2 linked regions of the Kluyveromyces lactis genome follow. The protein of the gene in region 1 purifies or fractionates together with the protein of each later gene. This does not show direct contact. Links are inferred from orthologs where the notes say so. Each region holds a gene or a part of one and is shown in the gene's direction. Other genes may lie near its edges.

Region 1 (6,496 bases):
AGAGCCAAGTGGTACAGGCGCTGCCACAGGTAGTGGGGCATATGGGTTAGGTGGGATACTTGTAGCAGTTTGTGCATATGGGTTCACTGGTGGCGTGTAAGATGGTCTGGAACCCACAACAGATAGAGGAATTTGCTGATTTACCGCAGCCGGAGCATATGGATTGGGTGTTGGAATTGCAGAAGTTGTCTGTGGAACGAAGCTTGGCTTTCTTGGGACGACATTTGGAGCAGTTGAGGCAGGAGGCTGATGAGGAGCAGCCAAAGGATTTGGGGGAGGAATTCCAGAGTTTGATAAACGAGGCGCACCATTGGCAGTTGGTACGGAAGTTGAACCGTATCTTCCTTGTCTGGATTGTAGGGTACTGTTTGCTGTCCTTTCTGTTGACCTAGTAGTACTTGTTTTACCGGAGGCAATCAGCACACGTTGCTTTTCACTTTTAACCTCTTCGTTATCGTCCGGTAAAGTTTCCAAAAATCTTAATGAAAGCTCGAAATCGCCATTGGCAGCTGTGACATTGACGAATTCCAAAAACTTTGAGATTAGCGTTTGATTAGTTAATTTAACAGTACCTTTGTCAAGGTAGTCAGATAACACGGTGAACCTTTCCACAAATTCAGTTAAACATTCCAGATGGGCCTCGTATAAGGTGTCCTTTTGAGACGTCAATTGATTTTCAAGTTCAGGGAATTCTTTCAGCCAAATTGACGCAATGCTTTCCAAGGACTGGCCGCTCAAATATAATAAAATAGCATCTTTTCTGTTTCCCTCGTGTAGTAATCTATCACCTAATTTTACTAAAAGTGAATTTTTCTTTGAGATATCTTCCTTGGTGTAGTTGAAAATGAACTGAACAGCATCTTTCCATTGAGAAACATCGATGTTTGTAACAATATCTTCAACATCGCGTTGAGCAACAGAGAATAAAGTTCTTGCCAACCCAGATTGCTCAGAATGCTTGGAAAAGTAGGCGTTCTTCGCTTTATCCGCCAACAAGGCATCATTGGAAGTAATAGCGATCACCAAAGCCTCTAATAACAAGTCCTTCTCTAAAGCCTGATTTAAAGCAGATTTCAAATCACCTTTGATCAAAAAGTTAGTGAGTGGTTTCATTGATTCAGAAAAATCAAGCTTGAAAGCGCCTTCGGGAACGAATTTGTCGTTTAGTTGGTTGAAGAAGTCAGCACCATCTTCTTCTGACTTTTTGATGATGTCTTCTTTGGCATCATCTAATGATAATGCATCTTTCAAGTAAAGTGCAGTTCCATCCATAGATAGATTCTCTAGTAAATTCCAGTCATCTTCGTTTGTTGCGTTGATCTTTTGTGATAATCTCTTATTGATCAATTTCACGAAGTCCTTGGATTTCAAGGACTCATCGAAAAGCTGATTCTTTTCCAGTCCAGAAATACAAGGTTTTACTACACTGACACCTTTACCATCATCGGATATTCTAACCAGCTTACCACCGAATGCCCATTGAGCGGCAGGAGATTTGTTGCCGTACCATTTTGGGGCTTGGATCTTGACAGTGTTAGGTTTGTCATCAACTGAGTTGGAGGTTACATTGTTCCAGAATTCATCCTCAGAAGCATGTTGCTTACTCTCATTTGCCTGAGCATCCAAGGTATTGCTCAAATTTTGCAACGTTTGAACGACGATCTTACTATCAAAGGATGCGGATGCAAATAAATCTGGAGCTTCAGGAGCAAATTTGGATTTAAAGACCCAGTTACCACGTGGAGCGAACTGAGTTAAGATGGAGCCTTCTTGCGGATTCCATAACACCGAAGTGTTATCACGACCACTGGATAACAATAGATTTTCATCTTGTTTGCACCAATCCAACGATAAAACACCCTTTGAATGTCCTTGTGATAGCACTTTCAATGGTACATGAGCATTTCTTAGATCCCACGTTAGGACAAGAGGTTCTGTATCTGAGCTAGAGGCGGTTGCAATAATGGTAGAGCTGGTTGGATGCCAGTCAACAACCGTCAATGGGACCTTAATACCAGTGGTAGAGGAACTGTGGTTCAAATGCAAAACTTGTTTCTTTGCCTTTAAATCCCACACAGATGCATACCCTGAAGAACTGGCTGATGCAAACACATGTGCCAACGATTGGTTCCATGACAACGAGGAAACTTCATCGATTGGAGTATTACTGATACCAGCCGAAAAAGGAGAATAATCTGAAGATCCGATCTTGTTTGAATCCCAAACAAAGATTTCACCTTGAGTGCCACCAGAGACAAGAACATTGTTCTGTTTGGCATTGAACTTCAATGTCTTGACAGGACCCTGATGTTTATGGATCTTAGCAACAGATTTCAAGGCTTTTGGATCGAAAAACTCAACAACACCATTTTCTAAGGCACCAGCAATTATTTTGTCATCGCCCGACCAATCCAAATCGTTGAACTTACCGTCAGCGACAACAGATCCACTAGGTTTAGACCCATCAAAAGACAATAGCGACCATAGTTCTAATGTCGAAGTACTTGAAAAATCAGCATCAATGGCTCCAGATGCAGGACCAGTCGCCAAAACTGGCACCCTATCGTGAGACCATGAAAACGTAGCCGTACGCGGATACTCAGCTAGCTTCACCATTGCTTCAAGTTATCACACGGGTATTAGCTAATATTGATGCGCAAACTCAATGCTACGTGTAACACTGTTTAGCCACCTTTTATTCTTCTGAAAAAGATCAGAACAAGCTGTTGTTTTCCTAAAATTCGGTTTACATATTTTGAATCTTCAATTTCTTTGGTTTCTTCAGTTCCCATCATTTATAAAAACTTCAGCAAATTATTTTTTTGCAGTCGAGATCTGGCCCAAAATTAGGCGAGACACCATCCAAAGGGACAACAACATGGACAATGTATACTCGAAAAGGGATCTTACTACCTATGTTACTGTACAATTATTGAGTTTATAGTAGGTATCCCGCACTAAGTACTGAATATGTTGTGTGCCTGGAGATTGCATAATCTTGAAAGCATTTATATCACGTGATCTCCCGGTGCAATTACGCCAACGCAAACCGCAGCCTGGTCGTTTATTACATAGATCAATAGTGTTGTATTGCAGTTTGGGGATCTCTGACGTTTTTTAACACAGCTTTCTTTTCTTATATTAATAGTCATTAAACCTTTTGTAGCTCAATCAAGCTTTTGGAACGGAAAATTAGTTCAGTGGCCATAAAGAACAATCGAGAGCAAGGTTTAATTGGAAAAGTAAAAACACTGAAGTATAAATGGTTAATTTAGTAGAATACAATACAATAAGTGCAATAGTACATGCAACAGTTAATCTTGAAACGACTATCACAGTCTACAGTGATACGTTGACCGAGTCAATAGCAATTATTCTGTCGTAGCTTCATACTTTCAATTATGTCTGCAGGAGAATCAAAATACTACAAGGAAGCATTAGCGGAGTATCAGGATATGGATAAAGAAGATCCTGATGCCTGGGACAAGAGAATATCGAACACAGGCTGTTACGTAGAGAATCTAGCTTTACAACTTTGCCATGCAGAGACTAATGATTGGAGACAGTGTCTTGGTGAAATGAAACTGTTCAAAGATTGTTGGCAATCCAAGGGTAATGACCAGAGAGTGGGGACAGTCGATGCAAAAGAACATTGAGATTTGCATTTACAGGTGTAAAAAGATCCTTCACTGTGAAGCTTTGTCGAAATACTCCACATATTGTATATAGACCCATTTAATTGTATATGCGAATACCCATCTGAATATTTTTAGTCTACGCAGCGCAACATTTAAATTGACATATTTTAGTTAAGGATAATGAATAATCGTTTCAATACAACATTTACACCAGAACATAACGAAATTTAACCAGTTCCCGGACCATAGGTGAAGTTTCCAAGTAGAATTACAGCAATAGTGCTTTATTGATGATTAAAAGACCATCAAATAGTAAGAAGAAGGCTAATCTTCGAAGATTGACAGGTGCATTAAGGGATTTGCTAGGCGAAGAGGAGCCAAAGAAAGAAGAGAATCTAAAACAAATTACTCGAGATGGTGTGGTTTACATCATGTCTAAAGAGAATCGATTAATTCCTAAATTGTCAGACGAAGAGGTTATGGAGCGTCATAAGAAAGCAGACGAGAATATGAAACGCGTATGGTCCCAGATCATACAAAAATATGAAAGTATAGATAATCAAGGTGATGTAATAGATTTACAAACTGGAGAAGTCATAGAAGATAATGGCCATTTACGAAACTTGAGCAACGAAAAATCAGTTCTACATAGTTCGCTACCAGATGGTGGTTCAGTGTCTTATAAAAGTGTTCTGAATGACATTATGGATATTAAAGACTCATCATATAATTCATCGGTTTGGCAAGATCACGAAACTAACGATTCAGAAACAGGGTCCGAGTCTGAATCTGGTCTCGAAGCCGATGGTTTAGATGAGGGATCTGGCTCTGAAGCAGATAACAGTAATGAAGTTTATATGAAGAAGTTAAGACCTAATCCTGAAAGTAATTAGTTCAGGCGCTTCAGATATTCATTTATCACTGTGTTTACGGTTCGTTCATGTATTGATATATTTTTAAAGGTTTTCTAGCAAATTCGAAGCTTTCCATCTTTTATCGATCTAGCCTTGAAAAAACCACAACAAAAGTACAATGAGAACGGCTGAAAAAGAAGTATAAATTGAGTAAAGTCCATTAGTAACCTCTCTTGACAAACCCAGCTTGTATCATTGATCTTAAAGGTAGGTTACGGCAAAGCGGTTGTTATTTTGAAGAAGCAAACTAACCCTGCATTATTTCTACCTACGTGGAGAAAAAAGTACACATACGAGTTAGCTCATTGAATTTGAATATGAGTGAAACAAGACCTAAGACATTTTTCGATATTTCGATTGGGGGCAAACCTGCTGGTCGGATTGTTTTCGAGTTGTATTCTGATGTTGTTCCAAAGACGGCGGAGAATTTCTTAAAACTCTGTGAAGGTAACTCGGGATTTGCCAAATCCAAACCGGATATACCATTGAGCTACAAGGGCTCGATCTTCCACAGAGTTATCAAGTCTTTCATGTGTCAATTTGGAGATTTCACTAACTTCAACGGCACTGGTGGTGAATCGATTTACGGAGAGAAATTTGAAGATGAGAATTTTACTTTGAAGCATGATAAGCCATTCTTGTTGTCTATGGCAAACGCTGGTGCGAATACCAATGGATCTCAATGTTTCATAACATGCGTTCCAACTCCACACTTAGATGGTAAGCATGTTGTTTTCGGTGAAGTGATCCAGGGCAAAAGGTTAGTCAGAACTATAGAAAATAATGCTACAGATGAAGCTGATAAGCCGGCCAAAGAGGTTAAAATTGAGGATTGTGGTGTGTTACCATCCGATTATACTGTTCCTGCAGATGCAGAAGCGACTCCGACTGATGCGTATGGTGACAATTATGAAGAAAATATAACAGACGATTCGAAGGTTGATCCCAACGACGTCAATAGTGTCTTGAACGCTGTAGAAGCAGTAAAAGAGATCGGTACTAAACAATTCAAGGAGAAAAATTTTGAAGTAGCCCTTGTGAAATATGAAAAAAGTAGTCAAATGCTTAAGCAGTACTTCCCTCAAGATTTACCAGAGGAGGATGTTAAAAAAATTGACGCATTAAGGGTATCCTTATTCTTGAACATCGCTTTGGTGTCTCTCAAGAGTAAAAATTACAGTAGAACACTTAGCGCCGCCACTGAAGCCCTTCATGCTGACAACACAGACGATAAATCCAAGGCCAAGGCATTGTATCGCCGTGGTTTAGCTTATTACTACACAAAAAACGCAGAAATGGCCGTGACAGACCTCGAATTGGCTACTACATACCAACCACATGATACTGCAATTATAAAGGCTTTACAAGACGCCAAGAAAGCCAAAAAGGAGTTGATTGCTAAACAGAAGAAGTCATTATCCAAAATGTTTTCCTAATTTCGATTCCTCTTATAAAACAAAATAAAATGGATACGTGTCTTAGTACTGACTATATATTTCCTCACATCTTATTCAAAATCCTTATCACCTATCAAAGTAAAATCAGATGGAAATATTCAAGTAATTAACCATCAGTTAAATAGTATGCTTCTTGCGATGACGGACATAAGTACGTTCCGCTATTCTCGAATGCATAGCAGATCCCTATCATTTCATACGTATTGCGTACTAAACGACATCCAAAAATTTTCAACTTTGTTCAAGTGGCAAAGAATAAAGAAAACAATGGCCAAAAACAATGCTTGACATGCAACAGCTCATTCAAGGAGAAAAGTCACCGCTCATACACCGGCATTTTGGACCTCCCCACTCCAAACACCAAACTCTGTACCCCTCTAGGATCTTTTGGCTACCACATTAGCTACTTCTTTGTCGTTTCAGTGCGTTACGTTACGTTAAATAAACAGCATATTTGAAGATTGTTAGTGTTTTCTATCAATCGTGT
Region 2 (7,566 bases), on another chromosome or scaffold:
CGTTAATTTGGATGATGTGGTTCATTGTTATTGGTAACACTGGATTTCCAATTTTTCTCCGTTTCGTTATTTGGATACTTTTCAAACTAAGTCCAGATCTGTCCTTGAGAAAAGATAGTCTAGGGTTTTTATTAGACCATCCTCGTAGATGTTTCACAATGCTATTTCCTAAAGCGGCTACATGGTGGCTTTTTCTGATTCTCATTGGAATGAATGCTATTGATTTGATATTATTCATCATTTTGGATTTGAATACAGATGTTGTAAAAGATCTAACTGCTGGATTCAAGGTACTTAACGGTTTATTTCAAGCTGTTAGCACAAGAACCGCAGGGTTTGCCGTGCTAGATCTAAGTCAATTGCATCCATCTGTACAGGTATCGTACATGTTAATGATGTATGTTTCTGTGATGCCCTTAGCTATTTCAATTAGAAGAACTAATGTCTACGAAGAGCAATCGCTTGGTGTTTACGGGAATGGAGAAAATCAAGAAGATGATGGGTCGGAAAAGAATACAAAAAGTTTCATTGGAGCACATTTACGTAGACAATTGTCTTTCGATCTATGGTATATGTTTTTGGGTCTCTTTATTATCTGTATCTGCGAAGGTGGGAAGATCCAAGATCCAAGCAAACCCAGTTTCACCGTTTTTCAATGTCTCTTCGAAGTTGTAAGTGCTTATGGTACCGTTGGATTGTCCCTTGGATACCCTGGCTCCAATCAATCGTTTTCAGGACAATTCACAACTATATCAAAACTAGTCATCATTGCAATGTTGATAAGAGGAAGACACAGAGGTTTGCCCTATACTTTGGATCGTGCCATCATCTTACCAAGTGCGAAATTGAAGGAAAATGATTTACTCCATGAGTTGACTCACTCTAGGAGACCCACAACTTTAGGATTGAATGGATCTACATCTCATGATAACAGAACCACCTCTGTCGCTGATTCGACATCTTCGATTGGTAACAAACATATAGACCGGTTCCGTGACCGTTCACGTTCCGTATGGCACGGTTTAACCTCTGCGTTTAGTATGGGTCATCAACCACGGCCACATAGAACCATGACGTCTAGATCGTTAGATGATACCATTACAACGGACCGCATGATGTCCACGCAAAGTAACCAATCTTTTAACAATGAATCACAACAACAAACATTTTCGGATGGTAACAACTATCCAATGCACAGCATGAACTCAAACCACCATTATGACAACAGATCTATGACCCCCAACCAATATCACGTGTTTAGAGATTCCTTTGATCTGAGATCGGGTATTACTGAGCACAAAGGTTTGGATGGTGTACATGCAAATACCGTGGAAGCATTCGACCATTCGAACTATAATTCCAACAGTAATAGCAACAGTAACAGCAATTCAAACAGCAAGAATACGGAAACTTCAAGCTCAGGACCAATCTTCAATCACATCAATTCCTCTACCTCATTGCATTCACCACATTCTACAGGTTCAATGCAATCTCTGAATAGCTCACCCAGATAGCAACGATGGTACAAAAGACCACATTCTACACCCTAAATTAAATATGCTATTAAATAGCATGAGTTATTCTATCACCTCTAATTTCCAGACTGACTGAAGAACAGAATTGAACACTCGTAAAATCATGGGTAAAACATAATAGGTAGACACATTATGGACTTTCTAGTAATCAAACCTTATTCATTGTGCTTTCTTTGTCCCAGAATGCGCGTTACTGCCGTATAGTATGCATTGCATCGAGATGATCTCATCACTGTTACCCTGATATCCGATGGAAAACGGTGACATCACCGTCGGAGGTATTGGAAGCCCTAACGAGTCATTATCAAGTCACATCAAACGAACAGTGGTGTACGGATTCTATGTCCATAATGTTTTTCTGCATGTCTGTAATTTTTGGGAAACATTTATCGATTTGTCTACAAATGTCCATCGAAAAGAAACAATTCCATCTAAAAAATTTTCCGCGGTTTGCCAAACTCATCTCATCGCATCTAGAGATCCTACAGCCAAACAACCGAGAGAAAATTTTTTTTCTTCACCTAGCCGCCCATCAAGAGTGATTTTGTATATAAGGAGGGGTACGAATCCCATTGAATTGTTATATCGTTTTCCTTTTAATGATACTTCTGAAGATCTGTCACAACTTTTTTTTACTTGTACTTTCTTGAAGTATTTTAGTTTCGGTGTATTTACTGTACTATTATACTCATTATTCTCTCAGTATATTTTAGAATAATCATTTTGTTTCTAAATTATCGTATTCCTTTTTCCATTCACCATTACTATATGTTCTGTTTTAAATACTTTTATTACTTAGTCTCTTCTTGTTCTCAGTAGTCAGCTAAAAAATAAACTTACAGCCGCCCCCCTTTCCTCTAAGTCCCACCTTTGAGAGAGATAGAGAGAGTGTTAATAGCAGAGAAAGTTCGTGTATCAGTCGTTGAAACTATTCGTTTTAGTATGTTCTTTTTTTTTGTTTTCTGTTTGGTTTTCTAAGTGGCTACTAAGCAATGCTTTAAGCTTCTATTCTATGACATTTTTTTTCTACTTCCTCTTATTCATCCAAGTTAAAAATCGGATTGTTAGTTTGCAATCGCAGTCTTTTCTTCAACAGCGAACGGCCAGCAAATGCGTTTTTGCAGGGTAACAACAATTTGACGTTATAATTACTGCATGAGATTCAAACTTGCGCCTTCACTCTTGTCGAATTTACGAGGCCTAAAACTTTGCGTAGCTCGAAGATAGCCTGAAAGTTACGAAGGTACCATAGAAAAAAGTAAAATTGGATGGATGCACGAAAAAGAAACAGATTGAAATTTGATTAATAGTCACTTTTAAGATTGACCAACGAATAAATGTTGGTTAAATTAGAGATTGGAAATAATCAATAGAAGAAGCTAGCGAAGTTTTTTGCTGAAAGTGTTTAAACAGCGTGGAAGTTCACACGAACATCAGGGCCTGATTTACTAACAGTTCTAATTTCAACAAAAAATTACGATCTAAGATTAGACATTAATTTTAAAGGAATAAAAACCACTTAATTGATTAATTTCTTACCTATAACTAAGAGAGGTAAAATTAGAGTCAATTATAAACTTAAACATCAATTGCCATTCATTTAGTGCGATTCTTTTCATTATTACACATAGTTAGAAAGGATCCAATCGGGTAAAAAACCTCATTGTTTTATTTTACTTTTAAGTCCCCCCCCGTTGCTGCTTTTAAAGAAGCAAAAGAAGTGAAAATAAATCCAATAGGTTAGTTCATCGTTTGAAACACCCTTTACGCTTAAGAAAATACAAACTTCCGTTATGTCTATTATCACTCCTACTGCTCCTATCACCCCTCCAATGGAGTCTACTGGTGATCGTATGATTACCTTGGAATTAAAGGATGGAACTACTTTACAAGGTTACTCCTTTGGTGCCGAAACCACTGCAGCCGGTGAATTGGTTTTCCAAACTGGTATGGTCGGTTACCCAGAGTCCATCACAGATCCTTCTTATGAGGGTCAGATTTTAGTTATCACTTTCCCATTGGTTGGTAACTACGGTGTCCCTGACCGTAAATTAATGGATGAATACGTGGAAGGATTACCACGTTATTTTGAATCCAACAGAATTCATGTTGCTGGTTTAGTCATTGCTCATTACACCGAAGAATATTCTCACTGGTTAGCTCAATCTTCTTTAGGTACTTGGTTGAAAGAGAGCAACGTTCCAGCTGTCTACGGTATTGATAGCAGAAGCTTGACCAAACATTTAAGAGAAGCTGGTTCCATGTTGGGTAGATTCGCTCTACAAAAGCCCGGGACCTCTTTCGAGGATGCCAACTCTGCTGAATGGATGTCTTACTTCGAAACTCCAGAATGGGTTGATCCAAATGTTGATAATTTAGTGGCAAAGGTTTCCCTAAAGGCTCCTAAGCTTTTCGTTCCAAACCACCCAGACATCGATCTTGTTCAAGGTCCTGACGGAAAAACTTTACGAATTGTTGCCGTTGATGTGGGTATGAAGTACAACCAAATCCGTTGTTTCGTCAAGCGTGGTGTTGAATTGTTGGTTGTTCCATGGGATTACGACTTCACCACCGAAGAATATGACGGTTTGTTCATCTCTAATGGTCCTGGTAATCCAGCCATTCTGCAGGAAGTGTCCGATAGATTGACTAAAGTTTTAGATGCGAAGAAGACCCCAGTCTTCGGTATCTGTTTGGGTCATCAATTACTAGCTCGTGCTTCTGGTGCCTCAACTTTGAAGATGAAGTTCGGTAACAGAGGTCACAATATTCCATGTACTTCGACTGTCTCTGGTAGATGTTATATCACTTCTCAAAACCATGGTTTCGCTGTAGATGAAACTAGTTTGACCAATGGCTGGAAATCATTGTTCACCAACGCTAACGATGGTTCCAATGAAGGGATTTATCACTCAGAGTTGCCTTACTTCTCCGTTCAATTCCATCCTGAATCTACTCCAGGTCCAAGAGACACTGAATTCTTGTTCGATGTCTTCATTCAATCTGTTCTAGATTTCAAGCAAACTGGTGTATTGAAGCAAGTTGAATTCCCAGGCGGTAACATTGAGGAGAACTTGGCTGCTCATCCTAGAGAAGATGTCAAGAAAGTTTTAGTCTTGGGTTCCGGTGGGTTATCTATTGGTCAAGCTGGTGAGTTTGATTATTCTGGTTCTCAAGCCATCAAGGCTTTAAAAGAAGAAGGTATCTACACGATCTTAATTAACCCTAATATCGCTACCATTCAAACCTCTAAGGGTCTAGCTGATAAAGTGTACTTCTTGCCTGTTACCGCTGAATTCGTTAGGAAAGTAATTTTACATGAACGCCCAGATGCCATTTACGTGACATTTGGTGGTCAAACTGCTTTGTCAGTCGGTATTGAAATGAAAGATGAATTCGAAACTTTGGGTGTCAAGGTCTTGGGTACTCCAATCGATACTGTCATCACCACTGAGGATCGTGAACTATTTGCTAATGCCATGGACGAAATTAATGAGAAATGTGCTAAGTCTGCTGCTGCTGCCACTGTTGCGGAAGCTCTAGAGGCTGTCAAGGATATCGGATTCCCCGTCATTGTTCGTGCAGCTTACGCTTTAGGTGGTCTAGGTTCCGGGTTTGCTTCGAATGAAAAAGAATTGGTCGACTTGTGTAACGTTGCCTTTGCTTCTTCCCCTCAAGTTTTGGTTGAAAGATCCATGAAAGGTTGGAAAGAAATCGAGTACGAAGTTGTTCGTGATGCTTTCGACAATTGTATCACTGTCTGTAATATGGAAAACTTTGATCCTCTAGGTATTCACACTGGTGATTCCATTGTCATTGCGCCATCCCAAACCCTATCAGACGAGGATTACAATATGTTAAGAACTACCGCAGTTAACGTCATTAGACATCTAGGTGTTGTTGGTGAATGTAACATCCAATATGCATTAAATCCAACTTCAAAAGAATACTGTATCATTGAAGTCAATGCTCGTCTATCTCGTTCCTCTGCCCTAGCTTCAAAGGCCACTGGTTACCCATTAGCTTATACCGCAGCTAAGTTGGGTTTAAACATTCCTTTATACGAAGTCAAGAACTCGGTCACTCGTTCTACCTGTGCTTGTTTCGAACCCTCTTTAGATTACTGTGTTGTTAAGATGCCAAGATGGGACTTGAAGAAGTTCACTCGTGTCTCAACTCTGCTTTCTTCCTCAATGAAATCTGTTGGTGAGGTCATGAGCATCGGTAGAACTTTCGAAGAGGCGATTCAAAAAGCTATCAGATCTACTGAATACTCTAATATTGGTTTCAGTGAAACTGATGATGAACTTGATATCGACTATGAGTTAAGTAATCCTTCTGATATGAGAATTTTTGCCATTGCTAATGCATTTGCTAAATTTGGTTATTCTATCGATCAAGTTTGGGAGAAAACCAATATTGATAAATGGTTCTTGAACAAACTATATAGCTTGATCAAATTTTCAGACAAGATCAGTTCTTATGGGTCCAAGGAGAACCTACCAGCGTTGGTTTTGAAGCAAGCCAAGCAATTAGGTTTCGAAGACAGACAAATTGCTAAATTTTTGAATTCGAATGAAGTTGCTATTCGTCGTCTAAGAAAAGAATACGGCATTATTCCATTTGTAAAGCAAATTGATACTGTTGCTGCGGAATTCCCAGCACACACAAACTATTTGTATCTAACATACAATGCAGCTGCTCACGATTTGGACTTCAATGACCACGGTGTTATGGTTTTGGGTTCGGGTGTTTACCGTATTGGTTCTTCTGTTGAGTTCGATTGGTGTGCTGTTACCGCTGTTAGAACTTTGCGTAAAAATAACTTCAAAACAATCATGGTTAATTACAACCCTGAAACAGTTTCTACCGATTATGATGAGGCTGACAGACTTTACTTCGAAACTATTAACTTAGAAAGAATTATGGATATTTACGAATTGGAAAGCTCTGCTGGTGTTGTTGTTTCTATGGGTGGTCAAACTTCCAACAATATTGCCATGTCTTTACACCGTGAAAATGTTAAGATCCTAGGTACTTCTCCAGAGATGATCGATTCTGCTGAAAACCGTTATAAGTTCTCACGTATGTTGGATCAAATCGATGTTGACCAACCTGCTTGGAAAGAATTGACTTCCATGGATGAGGCCGAGGATTTTGCTGAAAAAGTAAGCTATCCTGTTTTAGTCAGACCTTCCTACGTCTTATCAGGTGCCGCAATGAATACAGTCTATTCTAAGGATGACTTGGAATCTTATTTGAACCAGGCCGTGGAAGTTTCTCGTGAATATCCAGTTGTTATCACCAAATATATTGAAAATGCTAAGGAAATCGAAATGGACGCAGTTGCCTTAGACGGTGAATTGATTATGCATGTCGTTTCTGAGCATGTTGAAAACGCAGGTGTTCACTCTGGTGACGCTACACTAATTGTTCCTCCTCAAGATTTAGACCCTGAAACAGTTCGTAGAATCGTTGAAGCCACTGCCAAAATCGGTAGAGCATTGCAGATTACTGGTCCATATAACATTCAATTTATTGCTAAGAACAACGAAATTAAGGTTATTGAATGTAACGTTAGAGCATCTCGTTCGTTCCCATTCATCTCGAAAGTTGTTGGTGTTAACTTGATTGAAATGGCCACTAAGGCCATTATGGGCATTCCTGTAACCCCTTACCCAGTGGAGAAACTTCCTGATGACTACGTAGCAATCAAAGTTCCTCAATTCTCTTTCCCACGTTTGGCTGGTGCAGATCCAGTTCTCGGAGTTGAAATGGCCTCAACTGGTGAAGTTGCTGCTTTCGGCCATTCTAAATATGAAGCTTACTTGAAGTCCTTGTTGGCAACTGGCTTCAAATTACCAAAGAAAAACATTCTATTATCCATCGGTTCATACAAGGAAAAACAAGAATTGCTACCAGGAGTGAAGAAGTTATACAATATGGGTTACAAGTTGTTTGCCACTGCCGGTACCGCAGATTTCATTTCTGAACATGGAATTCCAGTTCAATACTTGGAAGTATTGAACGA

Evidence for each region.
Region 2: the proteins of CPR6 (region 1) and URA2 purify together in Saccharomyces cerevisiae (affinity purification with mass spectrometry; 5 studies listed by BioGRID, with this or other methods). This does not show direct contact. The link is inferred for Kluyveromyces lactis from reciprocal best matches to the Saccharomyces cerevisiae genes CPR6 and URA2.

The regions. Positions count from the first base shown.
Region 1 is NC_006042.1:502,127-508,622, reverse strand, and holds CPR6 (peptidylprolyl isomerase CPR6), read left to right. Parts: upstream 1-4,869; coding exon 4,870-5,988; downstream 5,989-6,496. Other genes in the region: SEC31 (Sec31p), read right to left, coding at 1-2,616; COA4 (Coa4p), read left to right, coding at 3,402-3,656; SCM3 (Scm3p), read left to right, coding at 3,929-4,531. UniProt on the Saccharomyces cerevisiae protein: PPIases accelerate the folding of proteins. It catalyzes the cis-trans isomerization of proline imidic peptide bonds in oligopeptides.
Region 2 is NC_006041.1:1,367,413-1,374,978, forward strand, and holds the start of URA2 (bifunctional carbamoylphosphate synthetase/aspartate transcarbamylase), read left to right. Parts: upstream 1-3,328; coding exon 3,329-7,566. Other genes in the region: TRK1 (Trk1p), read left to right, coding at 1-1,514. UniProt on the Saccharomyces cerevisiae protein: Multifunctional protein that encodes the first 2 enzymatic activities of the de novo pyrimidine pathway: carbamoylphosphate synthetase (CPSase; EC 6.3.5.5) and aspartate transcarbamylase (ATCase; EC 2.1.3.2).